Saccharomyces cerevisiae S288C: one gene and its partners. The gene in region 2 interacts genetically with the main gene of each other region. Each region holds a gene or a part of one and is shown on either strand. Other genes may lie near its edges.

Region 1 (5,554 bases), on a different chromosome or scaffold from region 2:
CACTATAGGGTCTTCATTGAAGTATAAAATTGAGTCACCTCCTAGCTCTTCAGTGGAAAGGCCTACATTACTTCGCTCGCCAAAAACAGTAGAACATAAAATACTTTGTGCAGCAACTATTAATATTTGTTTCTTCATTGATAGTATAGCGTGATCTTATATTTGTTAGTGATGATTTTATGGCACGGACTTAGTTAGAATGCCATTCTAGAGAAGAAATCTTCATATGTTCGTTACATAAAGAGAATAAAATTACCTAAAATTGGATGATAACTTTTATAAAATCAACTACTTTTTGTGGCATTTTTTTCTTTTCTCTTTTCATCATGATTTGAGTGTACTATTACTGCAGTGCAAAAAAAGGGTAGTAATGAGGCGGTACGCAAATCGTAAAAAAAATACAAATGTAGTAAGTGGATGATGTAAATGAGTTAACTAAAAATGAATACAAAGGTTATGTGAAGATAGCTTTATTTAAAATATCTCAAAATGACGTTATATATCCATAATTTATTGTTGACCAGCCAAAGCAGCGATCTTGGCAGCAACACGAGCAGCTCTTTCTTCCTTGGACAATTTGGTTTGTCTGTACTTCTTGGATTCAGCAGCGTATTGTTCCTTGGTGAATTTCTTTTCAGTTGGCTTGAAAGCTGGGTCAGCTCTGATAGCTTCGTGAGCAGAAGTGTAGATGTCTTCCAAAGAGTCAGCATCAATGTCGTCAGCTAGGTAACCCTTGAATAATTCAGAGAATCTTTCTTCATCATCGTCAGCTAATTCTTCCATGTATTGGGAAACGTGGCCACCAAAGATGTAAGATCTCAATAATTCTGGGTCAATTTCTTCGGTTTCGAAGTCCCAACCTGGGAATCTGTTTTCGGAGTGAGGAACGTACAAACCACCGTCAGAAGCACCCTTTAGAGCACCGAAAACTCTGGCACCAGTGGTGGTTCTTTGCAAACCAATATCCAAGAAGACCTTGAATGGACGTGGACCATCTTCAACAGCTTCGGTCAATTCGTATTCACCTTCAACTTCTTCAACACCCTTGTAAGTTTCGTCCAAACCCAACTTTTGCAAGGTTCTTCTGGCGATCAACAAACCAGTAGCGTAAGCAGCAGCCCAGTTGGTCAAACCGTGGGTAATACCGTATCTTGGCAATTCGTGGGAGTAGGCAGCAGCTAAGACGACATCACCAGTGATGGTAGAAGAGATGATTTGACAGATGATATCCTTGTTAGTGAATCTAACAACCAATCTGTACTTTGGAGTGTTGTACTTGGCCTTGTGTTGGGTGACCAATCTCTTTCTTTGGTAGTAATCAGTCTTACCTTCTCTTCTTCTTCTGAAAGGAGTTTGGAAACGAGAGGAGTAAGCAGAGGACTTAGCGTCTTTTTGGAAAGCCATTGTTGCTGAGATTTGTGACGGTGTCTTTTATTTTGAAGTGTAGGAGAAAACAAAAGTAAAGGTTGGCCTCTGAAATATACTACATCGGATATGTCTACAAACTTTTCTATTTATTTTTTTTTTTTTCAAAGCATCTGGCGACTACTGGGATCTGCGACGCTAAGTGAAGCCTCTGAAATTTTCGGATGTGAGCGATTCCGCATTGAAAGCCACCAGAAAAAAAAAAAAGAAAAAAAAGAGAATATTTCAATAATTTTTTTTGCTTTATGGGTGTTTTAGGATGTCTGGATGTACAAGTTAGCTGTCTAGAAAAGCTGTATCACATGAACAAGAATCTTCATTTCTTCATTTCTATGACGGCTAGAAAACAAAGATTTGATGATTACAAGAAGTTCGGTGCCGTGATTATATGCTTAAAACATCTCAATATGAAGTCATGGTGTTTTACTTAATTCAAAAGCATAACAGTATTTATGTACATTGAATGACTTTGTATTTACAATTAATTTGAGTTGTCTTTCCTTGTGTCTATAACTTCTGGGGATAAAATAGCAGCATTAGCCAATGACGCTGCTTTTTCATCTGCATTCATCTCAGGCTCCTTTTTAGAGTCACTTACAGCTGTACCATCACCATAATGAGCTCTGAAGAATGTGTAATGTAAAATAATATCATCGATATTTCGCATCGCTGGATCGCTAGCAAAATCTGGATCGATAAAAAAGAAGACAGGCATATCTATTTCTTCACCGGCAGCTAGCTTTTGTTCTTCAAAGCAAAAACATTGGATTTTATTAAAGTATTGAGCTGCTTCACCAGGCGCTATGCTATAAGTAGCCATACCAATAATATCTTTATCGCTGTAATTCTTGGCTTTATAAAAAGCGAGGGCTGTTTCACCAGGCAGAACGTAAACCTCACGTTGTTGAGGAACGAATTTCCACGGTAAAATTTGTGATACTTCACTGGTGAATGAGATACGAATTCTCTTCTCAGTATCTACAGGAATGAGTTTATCGTCGGTAAATTTTCTTCTATCTGTTATGGGAATCCCACCAAAACCAGTACGAGCACAAATGGCTCTATAGAGTGGTACCGCTGCATATGCCAAACCCAAGAAAAGTACCGCGACGCTGCTGAAATAAAATGCAACCGTACGATCTTTAAATTTTCTCTCCCTTGCTCTTTTCAACTCTCGCAATTGCTGGATTTCATTTCTAGTAAGTTTTGAAATATCAAATGTATGTTTTGGTTGTTCGCTGTTCACTGAATAACTTCTCAATGCAACGTTTTTGCATATGGCCCGCCTTAGAGCTAGCGCATGAGGTGCCAACCATGAGTCGGATCTAAGAAAAGTTCCTAACAGTGGAACCTTAGATCTAACAATGGGACATATTCTTATCATGACAATATTAGGGAATTTTGGCTGCAATATTATTTGTTTGTGCGCTGAAGTGCTATTTCACCTGCGACAGGAATATTATTACTTTAAAGAAGATACTTAAGCGTTCGCTGCCCCTTTAGACTCTTCACTGTTCTTTGATTTGTATTGGTTAGTATCTATGTCCTTAAAAGATATATCATGTTTCATCCGTCAAAGGGCATTGGTTAGGGAAAGGGTTTTCCAATGGTTACGCTGTTTTTCCTACAGATCCGCTCCTTAGATGGGGAGAATAATGTTTTGGAATGGCAGAAAACAAGAAAAAGCAAAACAAAGAGTACGAAGGAAAATGAAAAATAGTTGAATATTAGAAAAAAGGATGAGGTCTCTGGGATGGAAGAAGAAAGTAATTCTTATGAGAAAATTTGCGGGAGTTCTTTGCCAGTGAGATAAAGTTTTTTTTAATTTTAATCAACACAAAATACACATATTTATATAAACTGACGAAATAATGTCAGCAAACAGTGGTGTAAAACGAGCCAGTAAGGCTTTTAAAACATGTTTATTTTGTAAACGGTCACATGTTGTATGTGATAAGCAACGTCCATGTTCTAGGTGCGTCAAGAGGGATATTGCCCATTTATGCAGGGAAGATGATATTGCGGTTCCAAATGAGATGCCATCACAGCACGAAAGTTCTCCGAATGATAATAATATACAGGGCAAATATGCAAATAAAGCACACACTGGAATTCCGTCTGACTATCAGAATGAACCAGTCAATAAAAGTGGATCCACATATGGAGAGGAACTGTCACCGAAACTAGACTCCTCTCTTGTAAATGATACAACCAGCTTGCTGCTTCCGCAACAACCTGTATTTGTGTCCGAGAATGTTGGTTCGGAATTCAGTTCTTTGAATGAATTTCTTTCTATGCTAGAAAATCCTCTATTGACTCAAACATCACTAAGTTCCAGCAGTGCGAGCAATGTTCATTTGGAAAATGGCTCACAAACCACACAATCGCCATTAGAGTACCAAAACGACAATCGTAGGGATGAAATAGGAGTGGCAAGACAAGAAAATAGGTCGCCTACTATTATGTCAGGTTCTTCCAATAGTATCTCGAAAGGGGATAAACAAGATCAAGAAAAGGAAGAGTCTCGAATTCTAGCGAATGCAAACGAAAACAGTGCACCGACACCGAAGGAACAATTCTTTTTAACAGCGGCGGATCCGTCAACAGAGATGACACCAGAACACCGGCTGAAGTTGGTCATAAATGCGAAGCTTGAAGCAGGATTATTGAAGCCGTATAATTATGCCAAGGGGTATGCAAGACTACAAGACTACATGGACAAATATATGAATCAGTCTTCCAAGCAAAGGATTCTGAAACCACTATCCACCATTAGACCGGCGTTTAGAACCATTGCGCGTTCATTGAAGGATGTTGACTTAGTTTTAGTGGAGGAGAGCTTCGAGAGGATGTTATTATCTTATGATCGTGTTTTCACCTCTATGAGCATGCCAGCGTGCTTGTGTAGGCGTACCGGTGAGATTTACAGAGCCAATAAAGAGTTTGCTTCACTGGTTGACTGCACAGTCGATGATTTACGCGATGGAAAGCTTGCGATCTACGAGTTGATGACAGAAGAAAGCGCTGTGAATTTCTGGGAAAAATACGGGTCCATAGCGTTTGATAAGGGTCAGAAGGCTGTTTTAACAAGTTGTAGTCTTCGAACCAAAGATGGAATCCGCAAACGGCCATGCTGTTTTAGTTTCACTATCAGAAGGGATAGGTACAACATCCCAATTTGCATCGTCGGGAATTTCATCCCTTTGTCATAAGCATAAGTAATACATAGTAGGTAATTGGTATTTCCAGCGTCATTAAAAAGCAAAGTAACGGGTTTACTTTTTCCTCAAGCCGCTGGCCCGAGCAGTTACTTGAAATAGCCGTATTACTACGAGCAATACGAAGACCTTTTTCTACCAGCATTTGTTTTTTTTCAAATCATTCCCATTATTACCCCAGGATCTTTTCATAATGCGGCGACCAGAGATAGGGAAAAAAACTGCGAACTGGCTGAATCTGATTTGGCGAAGGGCAGATTCTCGGGTATTTCTGTGAGGGTGACCGCCGTTGATATATATCAGTGACTTTTGGGAACCTTTATCTCATTTATTCTCAAGATAGAACTGTAACGAGGGTGAAAGAAAAAGAACTGTAAGATGACATCTATAGATAATAGACCTTTGCCGTTCATATACCAGTTCACAGCCGGTGCCATTGCCGGCGTCTCGGAGCTATTGGTGATGTATCCATTGGACGTGGTGAAGACAAGAATGCAATTACAAGTGACAACCAAAGGTCATCCCGCTGTTGTTGCAGCGAAAGCAGCAGTAGATCACTACACGGGCGTGATGGATTGTCTTACAAAAATTGTGAAGAAGGAAGGATTTTCGCATCTTTACAAGGGTATCACATCGCCTATATTAATGGAGGCTCCGAAAAGAGCAATTAAGTTCTCCGGAAACGATACATTCCAAACGTTTTATAAAAAGATTTTCCCCACGCCCAATGGGGAGATGACTCAAAAAATCGCCATATACAGTGGTGCGTCCGCTGGCGCCGTGGAAGCCTTTGTCGTCGCGCCTTTTGAACTAGTGAAGATTAGATTACAGGATGTGAATTCACAGTTCAAGACACCCATTGAAGTTGTAAAGAATAGTGTTGTGAAAGGTGGTGTTTTGTCACTTTTCAA
Region 2 (6,174 bases):
TCTTCTTGATCAGCAACCAATGTTTCACCTTGAGGTTCCTCATCAGCAGCTACTTCTGAAGCATCTTGTTCTGCTCTATCTCTCTTCAATTTCATCTCAGCATCCAATTTTGCAGTCTCATTTTGCTTCTTTTCTTGGACCTTTTTCAATCTATAAAATTCTTCTCTGTCCAACTCATCCAACTCACTGTTAATGTAAGCAATTGTGTTTTCAGTTCTTGGGATAATAACGTGTTCGATAGCATTAACCCTTCTGTTCGTCACTTTAATCACTTCATCCAAAATAATAAATGCAGTCTGTAAAGAGGCTAATTCAACTAAAGTTTCAACGGCTCTTGAATAGATTTCCTTGGCTCGTTGAACCTGTTGACCACCTCTACCTAAACCAGTTAATCTGAAATCATTAATTTCAGGGTCGATGTAGGACTCAAATTGAGACAAATACACACCACTAACGTTTTCTTGACGTGCTCTCACTTTGAATCTTGCAGTAGAGACACTTTCTTGCACTTGATAGCCAATGTTTTCACCTGTTGCATAGGAAACTTCGGCCAAGGAAAAGGCAGCAGTTTGCATAACTCTCCCCATCTTTTGCTTAGCATCATCAATTCTTTTGGTAATATCTCTGAATCTCTTTGTTAGGGCTTCAGACTTACGCTTTAGTAAAGAATAACCTTGGTTGGCACCTTTTAACTTGGTCTTCATCAAACCCAGCGTCATACGCGTAGGAAAGACTTGCTCTCTATTACCAGACATTTTTGAACCTTTTTCACAATGCTGTTAGGAACCTATGTACTACAGATGCTGATTTATTCTACTGCTGCTTCATCTAACCTTTATCTGTACTGCCATTGTCTTTTAACAATCCCCGTTCCTAATCAAATTTGCATTCGGGTAACAAAAAATCAGGTGAGTAATATCAGTAATAAAAAGCACTATTGTTAAAGGTGTAACTGCGGCAATTGTTAGACGATCAAAGTTCGTGTTTAGAATAAATACAAGAATATAAATAAACACTTTTGTTACATAGGGTTTAGTATGTAGGCTTAGTAACCCAATCGGTGGAGCTCATCTGTGACAGCCTGCTTAAGGCACGGGCAAAGGCAAATCTTTCTTCATCAAGAGCAAACATCTGCGATTTCTTGGCAATCTCTTTCGAAAAACCGTGTTTCTCAACCATCTCATCTACCATACCAGTATCGACGCTATCAGGTTCTTTGGTTGTTGGGCGTAACTCAAAATCATTAAGTATCTGTTCAGGTTCCACAAACAAGGAAGAAAAATCCGCTGCACCCGTAGTGGCCAGTTTCCCGCCACTGTCATATACAGCATCTAAAAATGTAATAAATCTTCTCACTTCATCACGAACGTAAATGGACAAATATGGAATATCGGTCACTATAAAGGCTTCAAAATTTTTTGCCAACGTCAAGTAATCTCCTGCGGCCAAAGGCTCACCACACAACTGCTTGAAAGTAAACTGCGCGACTCGAGGTGGGGTACACTTAGGGACTTTGAACTCTCTCCCCCAAATAGTTAATGGATAATCATAAAATGTCTTATGCACCGTGTGTGAATCAGTGGAATCATCGGTGTGGGAAGCCTGTGCGAAATAGTTATACCATTCCTTAATATGAGTTTCTCGACGGGTTTTACATTCCTTTGATGCGTATTTTATGCTCGTATCGGATGGGAAATAGTAAACTGAGGACACAGGTCTTGGAATCTTACGGTAATCTGTTGGCGAATTCAAGAAGATAACCTTAGTTCTATGCTTTATCAGTTCAATACAAGGAATAAATGATTGTCTTTGAACACCGTTGATATACAACTCATCTGGATGTCTATTCGAGGTTGCGAAAAGTACGACACCATAATCATCGGATAGTAAGGCAGTCATCAGCCTTCTCAATATCATTGCATCTGCCACGTCAGTGACTTGAAACTCGTCAAAACAAAGAACATGCGAATTATTTGCAATCTCTGCGGCCAAAAATGGAACCGTATCGATCTCTTTTCCTTTTGCATCACCTAGTTCTTTCAAATTTTGCTCTCTAACAATTTCATGCGACCTTTTGTGAACATATTGCATAAACTGGTGAAAATGTATTCTCTTTTTTGTTAAATGATTGGGAATTGTAGTATAAAAAAGGTCCATCAACATTGTCTTTCCGCAGCCAACATCTCCATATAGGTAAACTCCTCGAGGTATCGAGTTACCAATTTTGGATACATCCACATACGCCCCAATGTTCTTAGGTTTGCCACGGCTAAATACGGATTTAAGACCATTCAACCAACCGCCAACTTGGTCGACAGCATTGGGTGTCTTGACAACCGGAGGTACATATTTAACCAGTGAATCATACAAATCCCCTAAGGAAGAGATGATACCACGCTGATATGTATCATCCCGTAGCTTCCCCAACTTCACCAGTCTGTCGTACTCTTGCAAGGGCGTCAGACACTTATTTGACTTCGTAGATTGATACCGACAAATGCGAAAGCTGCAATGCTGCACTTGTCGGAAGGTTCGAACAGCATTGGGCTTCAAAGCGATCATGATTTTAACCAGCAAATACTATGTTTCACTGCTTTACCTATTTATTCTTTGTTCTTTCGGAGCACCCGCAAATCAGAAGAAAGGAACTTCTCCCTCCCACTTTAAAGTAAATCCGGAGATTCCCGTTATTACCTTACATATCGAAATATGACCCATAAAAGATGTGTAAAATTACGTAAGACAAAGGAACTCGGCACACCTATTGAATAGGTAATAGTGGAATCAGGTGCCTAAATAAATGAATAAGAGTACTGTATTATCTAGTAGTTGTTATATTATCTAACCTTTACATAATACGATTATTTCACATTGTTATGTTTTCGGGTAATAATTATGAGATGGAGTGAAATTTCACGAAGAGATACAAGTAAAATAGCAGCTCTTCAATAGCAAGAAGAGTGGCGCTGAGATTGAAAACAACTGTGCTAGTGTAGAGCAACTTTGATAATAGCTGGTACGTTTCCGAGAATGGAAGTAGACAGTATATTAGGTTCCTTGAGCATAACTGATGATTTTGACCAATTGGTTGACGTCACAAGTCTGTTTGATGAATTGTGTTCAAAACTAAAACCAGAGGCTATCGTGAAAGATCCCAGGTTTGATTTGTTCGAGGGTACACATTCTTTAGAGGTCAACAACTCCAAATTAGACTCCAGTCTGATAGAATTGACAGCAGAAGAAATAGAATTTGATGTGAACGTGGCCTACGATCCACCGTTGGCAAGTGTAGCAGCCATAGCGGATAGATTACTTAGATGTGTTATCTCCTGGCTGAATGACTACCAGACTTTACCCACTACTGTATTAAGCTGCAGGTATACAGAAAGCTTATTATCGTCATTAGTTAAGGGAACAACTGCCGGTTCGTCCTGGTGTACAGGGAATATTTTGTATGATAAAGTACTAGGAAGTTGCATACTTGGCGTTTGTTATTTAACAAAATTTGTGCAGAAACTCTTGAGTGCTGGTATTGTTTTTGAAGAGGAGGATTTAAATTTTAATAACATGGGGTTTAATACATTCGATAATTTGCCGGGGCAAGATGTTGTTATCAATTCTCTCACCGAGAGCCTTCAGATATTAGAGGCATATTCTGATGATAGCTTACATTTAACTATGCTGAAGCATATACTAAAAATTATCATTTGCTTAGTCCACTTAGAAGACCATCTGACAGACTATTCCACAAAGACAAGCCACCTGGATGAGCTAATTGAAAACGCTAACTCGGTTAATGGCATATTTCCACAATTACAGCTGTCTCCACCAAAGGGTGCGTTCTCAACATATATACAAAAGCACAGGTCTAATCAATTCCCTCCCAGGAAGATTACGAAGTTACCGACGGATTACAGCGGCTTTATTACACTGGCAAATGATGTTAAAACAATACTCCTTGTAGATAAAGCCGAGTCTGCGTTGGAGACCTACCAGTTTGCCAAATTCTTCAACAAGTTGGAACAAAGGCATGTCATTGCAAGGATCTTATTCCCCTTATTTTTCATTAGAGACGACAGAACAGTTTTGGGTAAATTTTCATATACCCAATTTTATTTGCTACATGTCAAGGAGTTTTCAGCACAAACTCCATCTGAATTTGAATCCTCTATTGGTAATGAACTTATCCAAGAAAGCTCTAATATGCTTTTAGAATGGTACCAAAACTGCTCCCAAAACACATGTAGATATAGACAAGGTTTTAACAGGCAACTTATTCTATGGGATTCTCTTCAAGCCCAGTTTGAAAGTGTCAATTCACAAGTTTACTGTTCGTGGACATATTTTATGAAACTATCAAGTATGATCGAATTCTCTTTAAAGGGGTTTGATTTGGATATTTACAAACCCTTTGAAGCATACTCTATGTTTTGGTATGTTTATTATTTAAGTCACCACTTAGAAACCTTTTTGAAAGATAGTCAAAATGATATTGAATCAAATATTAATGCCATTCATTCCATGAACAAAAAACTTAAAAAATTGAAAGCTGGTGAAAAGAAGGACCAATTGAGGCTAAAGTACAGGTTTGCTATGGATAATGAAATGGAACAATTACAAGCTACCAAACAATTTTTAAACTATCTTTTGAAGGAAATTAACATTACCAAATCTTTATGTCTAATAGAGGTTTTCCAATTTGCAATTTTAAAGTCATTTGGTTTAATTGACAACAAGAATAGTACTCCGTCAAAATTCTCTAATGAACGGTTAATCCATAATTTGAGATTCAAGCCATTTAATTCAATTGGTGTTCCTGAGTTACCAGAATATGAAGTATTTCAACAAACTTTAAAAGATTTTGTCATTGAAGAAAAAGGAGCTGCATTTGATATAAAGTTAGAAAGGGCCACTAACTTTATCGAAACTGAAGTGCGCAATGTCGTTAGTTCTATTGATGAGATAATGCAAGGAATCAAGGGAGGCGATAATAACGGCGTTCTAGTAACAGGAACAAGACTGGTTCAAGAGCTCTCTCTGGAGTACTATTGTAAACTAAAACATACTTCTAAAGCATTATCAGTCAACTCAAAAGTTATCGTCAACACTTTGAAAAAGAACATTAAAAACAAGGACTCCCACGAATACAAGGTTGAATTAGTTCATACAACAGAAGGATGGAACTATTTCCCCATACAAACATTGAGAATAAAGCAAGACCGCTATAAATAATCTGGAATTTACCCTAACTGTACAAAATATATTTAGCATTATATACCCGCTATTTAATTATTATAAAGGAGACCTTTATACTCAAACAAATGAAGCCACCTTATGCCATTATCCCATTCGTACCAGTCTAAAACAAGATAAATACCCTGTTTAACATCCGAACACCAAATATGTGTGGGTGTCAAACAAAGAGACAATGTAATGAGACAATGTACTGCTTGTAAACTATAACAGTATCAGCTCAATTTCAATGCCATCTACTCCAGATATCGTTGCGATTGTACCTACAAGCCGCCTACAACGGCGTTATTGTTGTAAGCTGGTAAAATGCAGTGCGTTCCCCCGTTGTGAGTTCGGGCCAAACTTACTTGGCTGGGAGTTCCGTCCGTACAGTTGTGGCTTGCTGCCTAGACTTAGGCGGACGCGGCGGCAATTACTCCTGGGCTCTCCCTAGAGCTGGAGAGACACTCTTGGTAACCGAAGGGAAAATCCCGGAAGAAAATTTGGAATCCGTTAACACTGCTGGAAATGGACATCTCCTAATACTGAAAAAATTATTCAAAGTCTAGAATTTTGGTAAATTTCAAGGCTTCTTTGAGTTACAGTTCGTTACTATTACACCTTAAAGGAACTTTCTTTTGGGGTCTAGAAAGTCGACAACAAGAACAAAGGATATACAAAAATGCCTCCAAAGTTTGATCCTAATGAAGTTAAATACTTGTACCTAAGAGCCGTTGGTGGTGAAGTCGGTGCCTCCGCTGCTTTGGCTCCAAAGATTGGTCCTTTAGGTCTATCGCCAAAGAAGGTTGGTGAAGATATTGCTAAGGCCACCAAAGAATTCAAGGGTATCAAGGTTACCGTCCAATTAAAGATCCAAAACAGACAAGCTGCTGCCTCTGTTGTCCCATCTGCTTCCTCTTTGGTCATTACTGCTTTGAAGGA
Region 3 (5,071 bases), on a different chromosome or scaffold from region 2:
GTCCCTTATTAAAGTAGCATCTAACGGACCTGTTGTTGACATTCTCTAGCTTTATCTGTGGAAAGTATTAATTTTTTATTGAATTTTATAAAGAAAGGAATGCAACAGTATGCGTATAGTTTTTATAAAAAAAATAGGGCGCTGAAACCAAATCAAAATATCAAATGTCGTATCGTTTTTGGCTTTCAGGATTGTTGATGTTTATAAATAGTGATAAGGCTTTGCTTTTTGATATTACGACTATGGCCTATACTTTTCACTATTCTCCATGGAAGAAGTATGCAAATAAATGGAGGAAAAGATGAATACTTGACCAACATCTAAATATAAAAATAATACGAAAATCGTTCAAACTTCCGGTGTTTCTTTTTCCACTTTTGGTGTTTTTTTCTTTTCCTATTTCACAGACTAAAAATCATTCTTGACGGGGAAGTCACCCTACGCTACTTTAAAGATATAAAGAAGTAAGACATTAAGAATAATGTATTATGATGCAGTATTTAGTACTGATTGATCAGGGCAATGTAGTCCTTGCGTACAGGCAATGAATCAGCCTGATTTGACCTGTTGATAGCTTGCCATTTGGGCTCGTCCTTAAACAGTCTCAAGGCCTTGATGTGGTTGCTAGTTGTCAAGGTGAAACGATGATAGATGCCTGGTGGAAGAATCAGTAAATCACCTGACTCTACCAAACACCTAATCCAGTTCTCTGGTGTGGAAGCATCCCTGACGTCAAAGTATCCAGCACCCTCGAGACAGTATCTTATTTCTTCGTCTTCATGTAAATGCTCTTGGTAGAATGTTGCTAGTTTTTCATTAAACTCTGCTTCACTTTTGAAGGAACCTTCGCAGATGTTGACCACATCTCTATTTTTATATTCTCTTTGCCTAGCAATTTCATTCACTTCTTCCTCATTTGCACAGTATTTATAAATCACTCCTAACTTGGCTAATTCATCCAGGGAAAGTTCTGTTCCAGAATTGTGGGGTGCGCGATAATCGGAGTCAACCTTGTTGTCATGAATATATACCTTAACCATTCTAACTTTTGACCTTTTTACGACCTTTTTTAGTGTCTTGTTTGGTGGTTATTGTTTTTTTTGATCTGCAGATGCCACCCTCTTTGTTCTTTTATACTTTGATGTTTTTCAATATGCATATTTCGGTGTTAGCGACTCTACTGTGGCGTCGCCCTGTCGAGCGGCTCTTACAAGGGCCCTTTCAGTCGTCAATGCAAAGAAAACTGGCAGAAATTACCTTCATTGCGCCGTTATGCTATCTTGCCTCTCTCCTGTTATTTAGAAGGCATCTCACTATCTAGACAGACAATACGACTTGCGCACATGTGAATCATTAACAAGATCGTGATTATCGCTACTTCTGCATAGTTTATAGGGAGAAAAAGAGAAGGAAAAAATTGTGTCAAAAACGGGCCAGAATATAAAAAAAAAATATTAATTGAAGAGTAATATGGACTATCGTAAAATACTTGTACTGAACGAGCAGTTAGTCTTGATCTAGAAGAGATGAAAATACCGGTGGGCGGTCGTTCAATCTTCAGCAATTGCAATTTTTTTTACGCATGCAAGATATATGTATGACTTACTCGAGCAAAAATTTTTTGTGCGGGAAATCAAATTCGCTTCAGCCTATTATTTACGCACCGGCAAAGCCCTGAACAATAGCAAGACTCCGATATTTCAGCGAAAGCATTCTTTGCCTGCGTGGCTTTCGTCCGCGGTTATTATTACTGCGCCTGTTAGCAACGACGGAAGTCACTCGATTCTATTTGCTCGTAAAACTCTAAGAATGATAATGCCTATGTTTAGTCCGCTTTTCAACAGAAGTCCTGACGATTGCCCTTCTCATCTGACCGCTACCCATATCTTTCAGCAATTCAGCGCTATGCTGGATTACGGACAGAGTACAAAGGAAGCCACTAACAAGCGCAGGTTAATAAAGGGTTCTGACCTACTTGTTGCCTTGGATCGGAATTGTATTCCTTCAGCCCCCTTTGTCCCCGAAATTGCCCTGCGTAAAAGCGGCGCAGTGGGGTCCTAACGTTTATTCCTTCCAAAGCTTTCTCATGCCACATAGTGCTAAAATAAGTGGACGCATGGGTTTCCTGCACGGACTTCTTCAAAGCGACCTAAAAAGTCCGTTTCTAACTTCGCCTTTCCTCATTATATGCGGTTTACGCCCTTATCTATAAAGGGAAATAACCTCATACAGTAACATGTCCGCTTATTCCCGCATATTTTTCTCAGTTAAGCAACATTCATTTACGTCTCCTATTTTTGCTTAGAAGATGACTTGGTTACTTTATTTTCTTCTAACTGCTTAGGTAAACTACATCATCTAATATATAAAGACGCTTCCACCACATTTAACCAACGGAAACGTCTCTTCGCTGTAAGGTTCTACATTTATTAGGTTATACTAACTAATCAATTCTTCGTTCTTTTCTTAACATTTCTCTCTTTTTTCGTTCATATAACGTAAATTACACGAAGCTATCCATCCTAAGGGCAAACGGGAAAGAAAATAAAACAAAACCATGAAGTTGCAGAGTTTGTTGGTTTCTGCTGCAGTTTTGACTTCTCTAACAGAGAACGTTAACGCTTGGTCACCAAATAACAGTTACGTCCCTGCGAACGTAACCTGTGATGATGATATTAACTTAGTCAGAGAAGCATCTGGTTTGTCAGATAACGAAACAGAATGGCTGAAAAAAAGAGATGCATACACCAAGGAGGCTTTGCATTCTTTTTTGAATAGGGCCACTTCGAATTTCAGTGACACTTCCTTGCTATCCACTCTTTTTGGTAGCAACTCTTCCAATATGCCTAAGATTGCCGTCGCCTGTTCTGGTGGTGGTTACCGTGCCATGTTGTCTGGTGCTGGTATGCTTGCTGCTATGGACAATCGTACTGATGGCGCAAATGAGCATGGTCTTGGTGGGCTGCTGCAAGGTGCAACTTACTTGGCAGGTCTGTCGGGTGGTAACTGGTTAACAAGTACTTTGGCTTGGAACAACTGGACGTCTGTGCAAGCTATCGTGGATAATACAACAGAATCTAACTCAATTTGGGACATCTCTCATTCAATTCTTACCCCAGACGGCATTAACATCTTTAAGACTGGGAGTAGATGGGACGACATATCAGATGACGTTCAGGATAAAAAAGACGCCGGTTTCAACATCTCTTTGGCGGATGTTTGGGGCCGTGCTCTTGCGTACAATTTTTGGCCAAGCTTACACCGTGGTGGTGTAGGGTACACATGGTCAACTTTAAGGGAAGCTGATGTCTTCAAGAATGGAGAAATGCCCTTCCCTATCACTGTTGCAGACGGTAGATACCCAGGTACCACCGTGATAAACTTGAATGCCACTCTTTTCGAATTTAATCCCTTTGAAATGGGTTCATGGGACCCCACTTTGAACGCATTTACGGATGTGAAGTATTTAGGTACCAACGTTACAAACGGTAAACCAGTTAATAAAGGCCAATGCATTGCCGGGTTTGATAACACTGGTTTCATAACAGCCACTTCATCTACGTTGTTTAACCAATTTTTACTAAGATTGAATTCTACCGATTTACCTTCATTTATTGCTAACTTAGCCACCGATTTCCTGGAAGATTTATCCGACAATAGTGACGATATTGCAATTTACGCCCCAAATCCATTCAAGGAAGCTAATTTTCTTCAAAAGAACGCAACCTCCAGTATTATCGAATCAGAATATCTATTTTTGGTTGATGGTGGTGAAGATAACCAAAATATTCCTTTAGTTCCATTGTTGCAAAAGGAACGTGAACTAGATGTTATTTTTGCATTAGACAATTCTGCTGATACTGACGACTATTGGCCAGATGGTGCTTCATTAGTTAACACTTATCAGCGTCAATTTGGCAGCCAAGGTCTCAATTTGTCTTTCCCATATGTTCCAGATGTGAACACATTTGTCAACTTGGGGTTGAACAAAAAGCCAACCTTTTTTGGTTGTGATGCAAGAAATTTGACAGACTTGGAGTACATTCCACCATTAATTGTTTACATTCCAAATTCAAGACATTCATTTAATGGTAACCAAAGTACTTTTAAGATGTCATACTCCGATTCAGAACGTCTTGGTATGATTAAGAATGGGTTTGAAGCTGCCACAATGGGTAATTTTACTGATGATTCTGATTTCTTGGGCTGTGTTGGTTGCGCCATTATCAGACGTAAGCAACAAAACTTGAATGCTACATTGCCCTCTGAATGCAGCCAGTGTTTTACCAACTACTGCTGGAACGGTACTATTGACAGCAGGTCAGTCTCAGGTGTAGGAAATGATGATTATTCTTCTTCTGCTTCCTTGTCTGCCTCCGCCGCTGCTGCCTCTGCCTCTGCCTCTGCCTCTGCTTCCGCCTCTGCCTCTGCTTCTGGGTCTTCCACTCATAAGAAAAATGCGGGCAATGCTTTGGTGAATTATTCTAACTTAAACACTAACACTTTTATTGGTGTCTTAAGTGTCATTAGTGCCGTCTTCGGTCTAATTTAGGCTCTTTCTTCGTTTCTATTTCTTTTCTAAAAGAATACGAGAGTGAGAAAAGCGCAAAAATATCAACATACAAATAGTTTACGAGATCTCAAGTGCATACCGCATCTTATTTTTACAAACTCGAAATCTTACGAGCATTAACATTTACATACCGGGTGTCTTCCCTACATATATCTATCTATACAGATATGTTCATGCAGTACTTTCATCGAAGATATATAGATAGGTTTAAAGTGCAGAAGGAAAAAGCTAGGATTGCAGATATGCCATCTGCAGGCCAAATTTCACTTCCACATATCTGCACTGTTCATGAAAATGATCAGTTTCTTTCTTTCTTGCAGCTTTAGATAATCTGGTTTTTCTGCTTTTACACCTTAGAGATGAATCAAAGACACTCAATTCGGTTATACGACAAAGGGCGAACACAATGATGATTCTCACGACTAAATTAAGGACATACTTTTCAATGGTGATGCCTATAGAGAATTTACCGTCGCACCCAATGCAGCCGGTCTGGCC
Region 4 (5,277 bases), on a different chromosome or scaffold from region 2:
AGATTAGTAATGGTTCCTTTCAGCCCTTCTCCCTTTACAAACCACCTGTATAGAGGTGAGCTACTTTTCGATACAGCAGTAGCAACTGCCTCATTTTGAGTAAATTTAATACTGCCATTATTCGAATCAGTGCTTACATCCAGGTTCTTCAGATGTCCATCAAATAGCCTTTCCCACCATGCTTCGCCATCATTCCCGCCAGGAGCATTACCCAATCCCTTCTTATCTCTCTTGTGCTTTACCAGTATGGGTCTTTTCAAACCACCTTCTCTAAACGCTTCTCCTTCTTTCCAACCATATGATATCAGATATTCTTTGCTATCCATGTCCGATTTATTCTGATAATATTTCCGCTTGTATCATTCAATTTTCTATGTACATCATGACAATGAATTGTAGAGTGCATCAATGTCTTTTTTAAAGTCATCGCTAAAAAATTTTCAGGCGGGAACTTATTCAAAATGGCAGATTTACTACAACATTGAAAACCCTTTATATTTATTATATGAGAATCATTAGCGATAAACAAGCCCACATATTCACTTCATAATCTGTGATAATGGAGTATGGACATCACGCTAGACCAGATTCAAAACGACCATTGGATGAAGGATCACCAGCAGCCGCAGGATTAACTTCTAAGAAGGCGAACGAAGCTTTAACAAGAAATAGAGAATTAACAACTGTATTAGTCAAAAATTTGCCTAAGAGCTATAATCAAAACAAAGTCTATAAGTACTTCAAACATTGTGGGCCCATTATACACGTTGATGTTGCGGATTCGCTGAAGAAGAACTTTCGTTTTGCACGTATTGAATTTGCCAGGTATGATGGAGCCCTCGCTGCAATAACCAAAACACACAAAGTTGTAGGTCAGAATGAAATTATAGTATCTCATTTAACAGAATGCACATTATGGATGACGAATTTCCCCCCAAGTTATACTCAAAGAAATATTAGAGATCTATTGCAAGATATTAACGTTGTTGCACTCAGTATACGGCTTCCCAGTTTACGATTCAATACAAGCAGAAGGTTCGCTTACATCGATGTTACTTCTAAAGAGGATGCAAGATATTGTGTAGAAAAATTGAATGGACTCAAAATAGAAGGTTATACTTTAGTTACTAAAGTTTCCAATCCGCTGGAAAAGTCGAAACGGACCGATTCTGCCACACTAGAGGGGCGAGAGATTATGATACGAAACCTAAGTACAGAATTGCTCGACGAAAACCTTCTGAGGGAATCTTTTGAGGGATTTGGTTCCATTGAAAAAATCAACATACCTGCTGGACAGAAAGAGCACAGTTTCAATAACTGTTGTGCATTTATGGTTTTTGAAAATAAAGATTCTGCTGAAAGGGCACTTCAAATGAATAGAAGTTTGTTAGGTAATAGGGAAATTTCCGTTTCCTTGGCTGATAAAAAACCATTCTTAGAAAGAAACGAAGTCAAAAGACTTCTCGCATCGCGTAACAGCAAAGAACTAGAAACACTAATATGCTTATTTCCACTTTCAGATAAGGTGTCACCAAGCTTAATCTGCCAATTTCTTCAGGAAGAAATACACATCAATGAAAAAGATATTAGGAAAATACTTCTCGTTAGCGACTTCAATGGCGCCATTATTATATTTAGAGATAGTAAGTTTGCAGCAAAAATGCTAATGATACTAAATGGATCTCAATTTCAGGGAAAGGTGATACGTTCAGGTACTATTAATGACATGAAAAGATATTATAACAATCAACAGAATCACAGCATGAAACACGTCAAACCTAGTTGTATAAACATGATGGAAAAAGGACCAAATCTTCAAGTAAAGAAAAAAATTCCTGACAAACAAGAGCAGATGTCCAACGACGATTTTCGCAAGATGTTTCTAGGTGAGTAGACTAACCGAACCGGAGAAAGACGAACTTCTAATAGGATGTCATTTTAGCAGTGAATATAAACCCAAGTTTCTTTCCAAACGTTCACATACATCAAGCAGCCAACATTCGAGAGAGCAGAGATTACGTAATTATATACAAGGAACCTTTATCTAAACATTTTCTTCGAAGGTATTATTTTCATATTAAACGTAATACCATTTTTGCACCTCAGGCGGTATTTGAGAAGGGGGTTTAACACTATCTTCAAGTGTGACACCATTACCAGCCCTTTCTGTATTAGGCAGGTTGTCATACTTCTCCTGGAGTGATCCTGAAATGAGGTTTTTCCACGAATTGTGACATTTCTTTATAGTTTGGATGGTTTTATTGGAATTTTGATACTGTTCATGAAAGGCGAAACTATTTAATGGCTTCCCTGCTGGAACTTTATACTTTCTAAACCACTCCCTAGTCGTATCTAGAATCCCAGGAAAGTACTCCTCAATTTTTTCCAAGTCATCTATTTTAGAGGATAAAGGATCATTTACGTCGATCACTATGACCTTCCAATCCAATTCTCCATCATCAATTAAAGCGAGTGATCCTAATACCTTGACCTTTTTAATGGAACCCATTTCCAAAACATCCGAACCGATTTCGCAACAATCAAGAGGATCATTGTCACCTTTCAAAGCCACGTCACACTTCCCCAGTTTATGTTCAATTGTGGGATCTTCCCATGTTTGGGGAATAGCACCATAGTTGTGTATATAGCCGTGATAGGGAAAGATATTGTTCACGAACCTAAGCTTGCCATTCTTCGTATCTTGAACGATCGGATTGAACCTAAGTTCTTTGGATATTTCAAATTTTCCAGTTGTCCATCTTGGTACTTCAACAATCATATTTACGGTCTTTTCATGTTCATTCAAATCTAAAGGGACATCATGGAAAAAAGAACCAACCTCTCCATTTAATAATGTCAAGTATTTCTTAAACCCGAGGGTATATTTGCTGCCTTGTTGAATGGTGCTGAATTGTCTATGATTACGAATGGATAAAATATTCAATGTTTGTTTTAACCGTTCTATTGACCTAGCCTTGCTTGTTAAAGCATTCATTCGTAATAAATTCATGTTTTTCAGTAACTTCTCTAGAAGGGAATTTGCTTTTCACGCATACAAGCGAATCAAAGTTTCCAATTGAATGTACTCCCTATTAGTGCTGGTTAAATTAGCTGACTGCTCCGTATTACTGTGCGGAGTTCCTTTTATCCAATATTCAAACCTCATAGATTGCCAAAAACAAAAAAACTTTGCATAAAAAAAAACAAAAAGGGTTACTATACACGATGAATGATTAGACTATACACTATTATATAAGAAATGATTAGAATCATATTTTAAATGTATTAAAAGAATATATGCACGTCCTTTTCCTCTCCTTTTCTTAGTAAAATTACAATTCAACCATCAGAGGATAACAGCTAAACAAATAGGAATAGATAATTTCTGATAATGTTTAACCTTTAGACTGCCGAACGACTCTCTTCTTCCTTATACTTTGGGTCCGCAAATGGATTATTTTCCTTACTAGCTGTGTCAAATTCGCCATTTGCTTCACCATTTGCTTCGTCTTTAACATCATTATATGGTGGTGGTACGTCACGCAGAGTAAATTTCAAATTCTCATCGATGGTAGCATTTTCATCGTTCATTTCAACAACGCCAGAAACGTCTGAAATCAACAATTTGGAAAATCCAAAAGGATCGCGAGGAATCCACAATTCGGGGCATTGTGCACTAACAGCTGGATAATCGTAAGCATGAGAGATATCGAAATCATTGACTCTTTCATCAGGATCAACCAAACCATATATTTCTGGCAGTCTGCTCTTTACAGCCTTATAGGAGTAGTAAATGTGAGGTTTTAAGAATCTCTTCCACCATGGAGCCGGAGGAATTTTCATTGTATCACCATCTGCTAATAATGGCACGTCCTCAATTAAATTTTCTGCATTTATAGCGTGCCCATCTGCATTGGCTTCATTTGCTGGGTTGAATTGATATTCGAATGTATTTTCACTAAATATGCTATTTTCAACTTGTTGCTCAGTGACTGATTCACTCCTCTTGTGATATTTCTTTATTGGAAATTCAGGTAATTCTTTGATTCCGTCCATGTCAATATTTGCACCAAAAGTATTTTTCTTCACCTTTGTACTTTCTATGCCTTTATAAATATTTTTGAAAGAAGGTGTATCTGATACACCATCTAACGGTTTCATGGTATCAACGGGTATAACCTTTGATAAATGATCAAATGCAGCGCTCAAATGTAAATGAATAAGGACGGTAACACAAATTCCAATTACCTGTAAAACGATTGGGCCCCAACCTTTACCAACGGCAAAAAGACCTAATAGACATATCTGACCGATGTAGATACCAACTATAGTTTGGAAAAGAGCTCTTGGATAATAAATACCCCTTGCGTCGGGTGATTCCTGATAGACATAAGTCAAATTGTATAAATATGCAATATACAATAGGAAAAACGCGACGGCAGCAAATAATAAAATCAACGGAGAAATGATGGAGTAGGAGAAAGTAATAACTGCCAAGTTTGTATAAACTGGAAAAGCTGTCCCCCACTGCATACTGGATAGCCCACAAAAACGATTCCATTTCTTCCTAACGGTACCATCTAAAAAGGCACCTAAAACATAAAAGAGTATTAGTGGAACAATTTGCAAAAGAGCACCTGATGAAATGGACAGACCTTGTAGAATAACGTATGACATGAAAAAATTAGAAGCTTTTGGCAGATTAGAAGCCAGTAGATCCATAGCCTTCGTGGGCTCTTTAACAATTTCCGTTACTGTGGAAGTGGCGGCGGAGGATAGAGTGGTAACTAAAAAGACTTGGATAACTTGAAAGGCGAAATAAGCTTGTTGAGTGAAATATTCCACATTTTGCTTAGATGGAGCACCTTGAGTGATAGCCATACCCCTAATAAATTTCGGCAAGAAACTCATTAAAACGGCCAATGCCACAGTTGGGGCCAGAGATGTCAGTAAACCTAATAGTTGTTTTGGTAATTTATAGATGAACTTTAACCATTTAACTTCATTAGTCAAGGAAGTAATATTAGAGATCATACCAACAAAAGCCACTGGGAAAGCCCATAATATTACTAGCGCGACAATTGCTGAAACCGCACTGACTTCCCTACCTAATCTTTCCCACCAGAACATCCTCAAATTAAACCAAACGACATCGGATGGCTCAATACCAATATACACAGGCGTCATGAAAAGAGGAGCATGGTATGTGGTGATCTGAGCGGCAACTTGGGCCTGATATTGGGATTCAAACTCCACAAAAACGGAGTTGAAAGGGGA

Evidence for each region.
Region 1: of AFG1 (region 2) and COX11, extra expression of one rescues a mutant of the other (dosage rescue), as found in Saccharomyces cerevisiae (one study listed by BioGRID).
Region 3: mutations in AFG1 (region 2) and ADI1 together harm fitness more than expected from each alone (negative genetic interaction), as found in Saccharomyces cerevisiae (one large-scale study listed by BioGRID).
Region 4: mutations in AFG1 (region 2) and PPA2 together harm fitness more than expected from each alone (negative genetic interaction), as found in Saccharomyces cerevisiae (one large-scale study listed by BioGRID).

What each region holds. Positions count from the first base shown.
Region 1 is NC_001148.4:298,971-304,524, reverse strand, and holds COX11 (Cox11p), read right to left. Parts: upstream 2,810-5,554; coding exon 1,907-2,809; downstream 1-1,906. Other genes in the region: SPO19 (Spo19p), read right to left, coding at 1-138; 60S ribosomal protein uL18 RPL5, read right to left, coding at 511-1,404; gluconeogenesis transcription factor RDS2, read left to right, coding at 3,297-4,637; ODC1 (mitochondrial 2-oxodicarboxylate carrier), read left to right, coding at 5,022-5,554. UniProt on the Saccharomyces cerevisiae protein: Exerts its effect at some terminal stage of cytochrome c oxidase synthesis, probably by being involved in the insertion of the copper B into subunit I.
Region 2 is NC_001137.3:52,959-59,132, reverse strand, and holds AFG1 (Afg1p), read right to left. Parts: upstream 2,563-6,174; coding exon 1,033-2,562; downstream 1-1,032. Other genes in the region: VMA8 (H(+)-transporting V1 sector ATPase subunit D), read right to left, coding at 1-755; MAK10 (Mak10p), read left to right, coding at 3,031-5,232; 60S ribosomal protein uL11 RPL12A, read left to right, coding at 5,915-6,174.
Region 3 is NC_001145.3:280,071-285,141, reverse strand, and holds ADI1 (acireductone dioxygenase (Ni2+-requiring)), read right to left. Parts: upstream 1,041-5,071; coding exon 501-1,040; downstream 1-500. Other genes in the region: ANY1 (Any1p), read right to left, coding at 1-42; YMR008C-A (uncharacterized protein), read left to right, coding at 1,594-2,061; PLB1 (lysophospholipase), read left to right, coding at 2,558-4,552; YMR007W (uncharacterized protein), read right to left, coding at 4,802-5,071. UniProt on the Saccharomyces cerevisiae protein: Catalyzes 2 different reactions between oxygen and the acireductone 1,2-dihydroxy-3-keto-5-methylthiopentene (DHK-MTPene) depending upon the metal bound in the active site.
Region 4 is NC_001145.3:799,505-804,781, reverse strand, and holds PPA2 (inorganic diphosphatase PPA2), read right to left. Parts: upstream 3,011-5,277; coding exon 2,078-3,010; downstream 1-2,077. Other genes in the region: TMA23 (Tma23p), read right to left, coding at 1-326; U6 snRNP complex subunit PRP24, read left to right, coding at 560-1,894; RSN1 (Rsn1p), read right to left, coding at 3,403-5,277. UniProt on the Saccharomyces cerevisiae protein: Involved in energy production. Its activity is stimulated by uncouplers of ATP synthesis.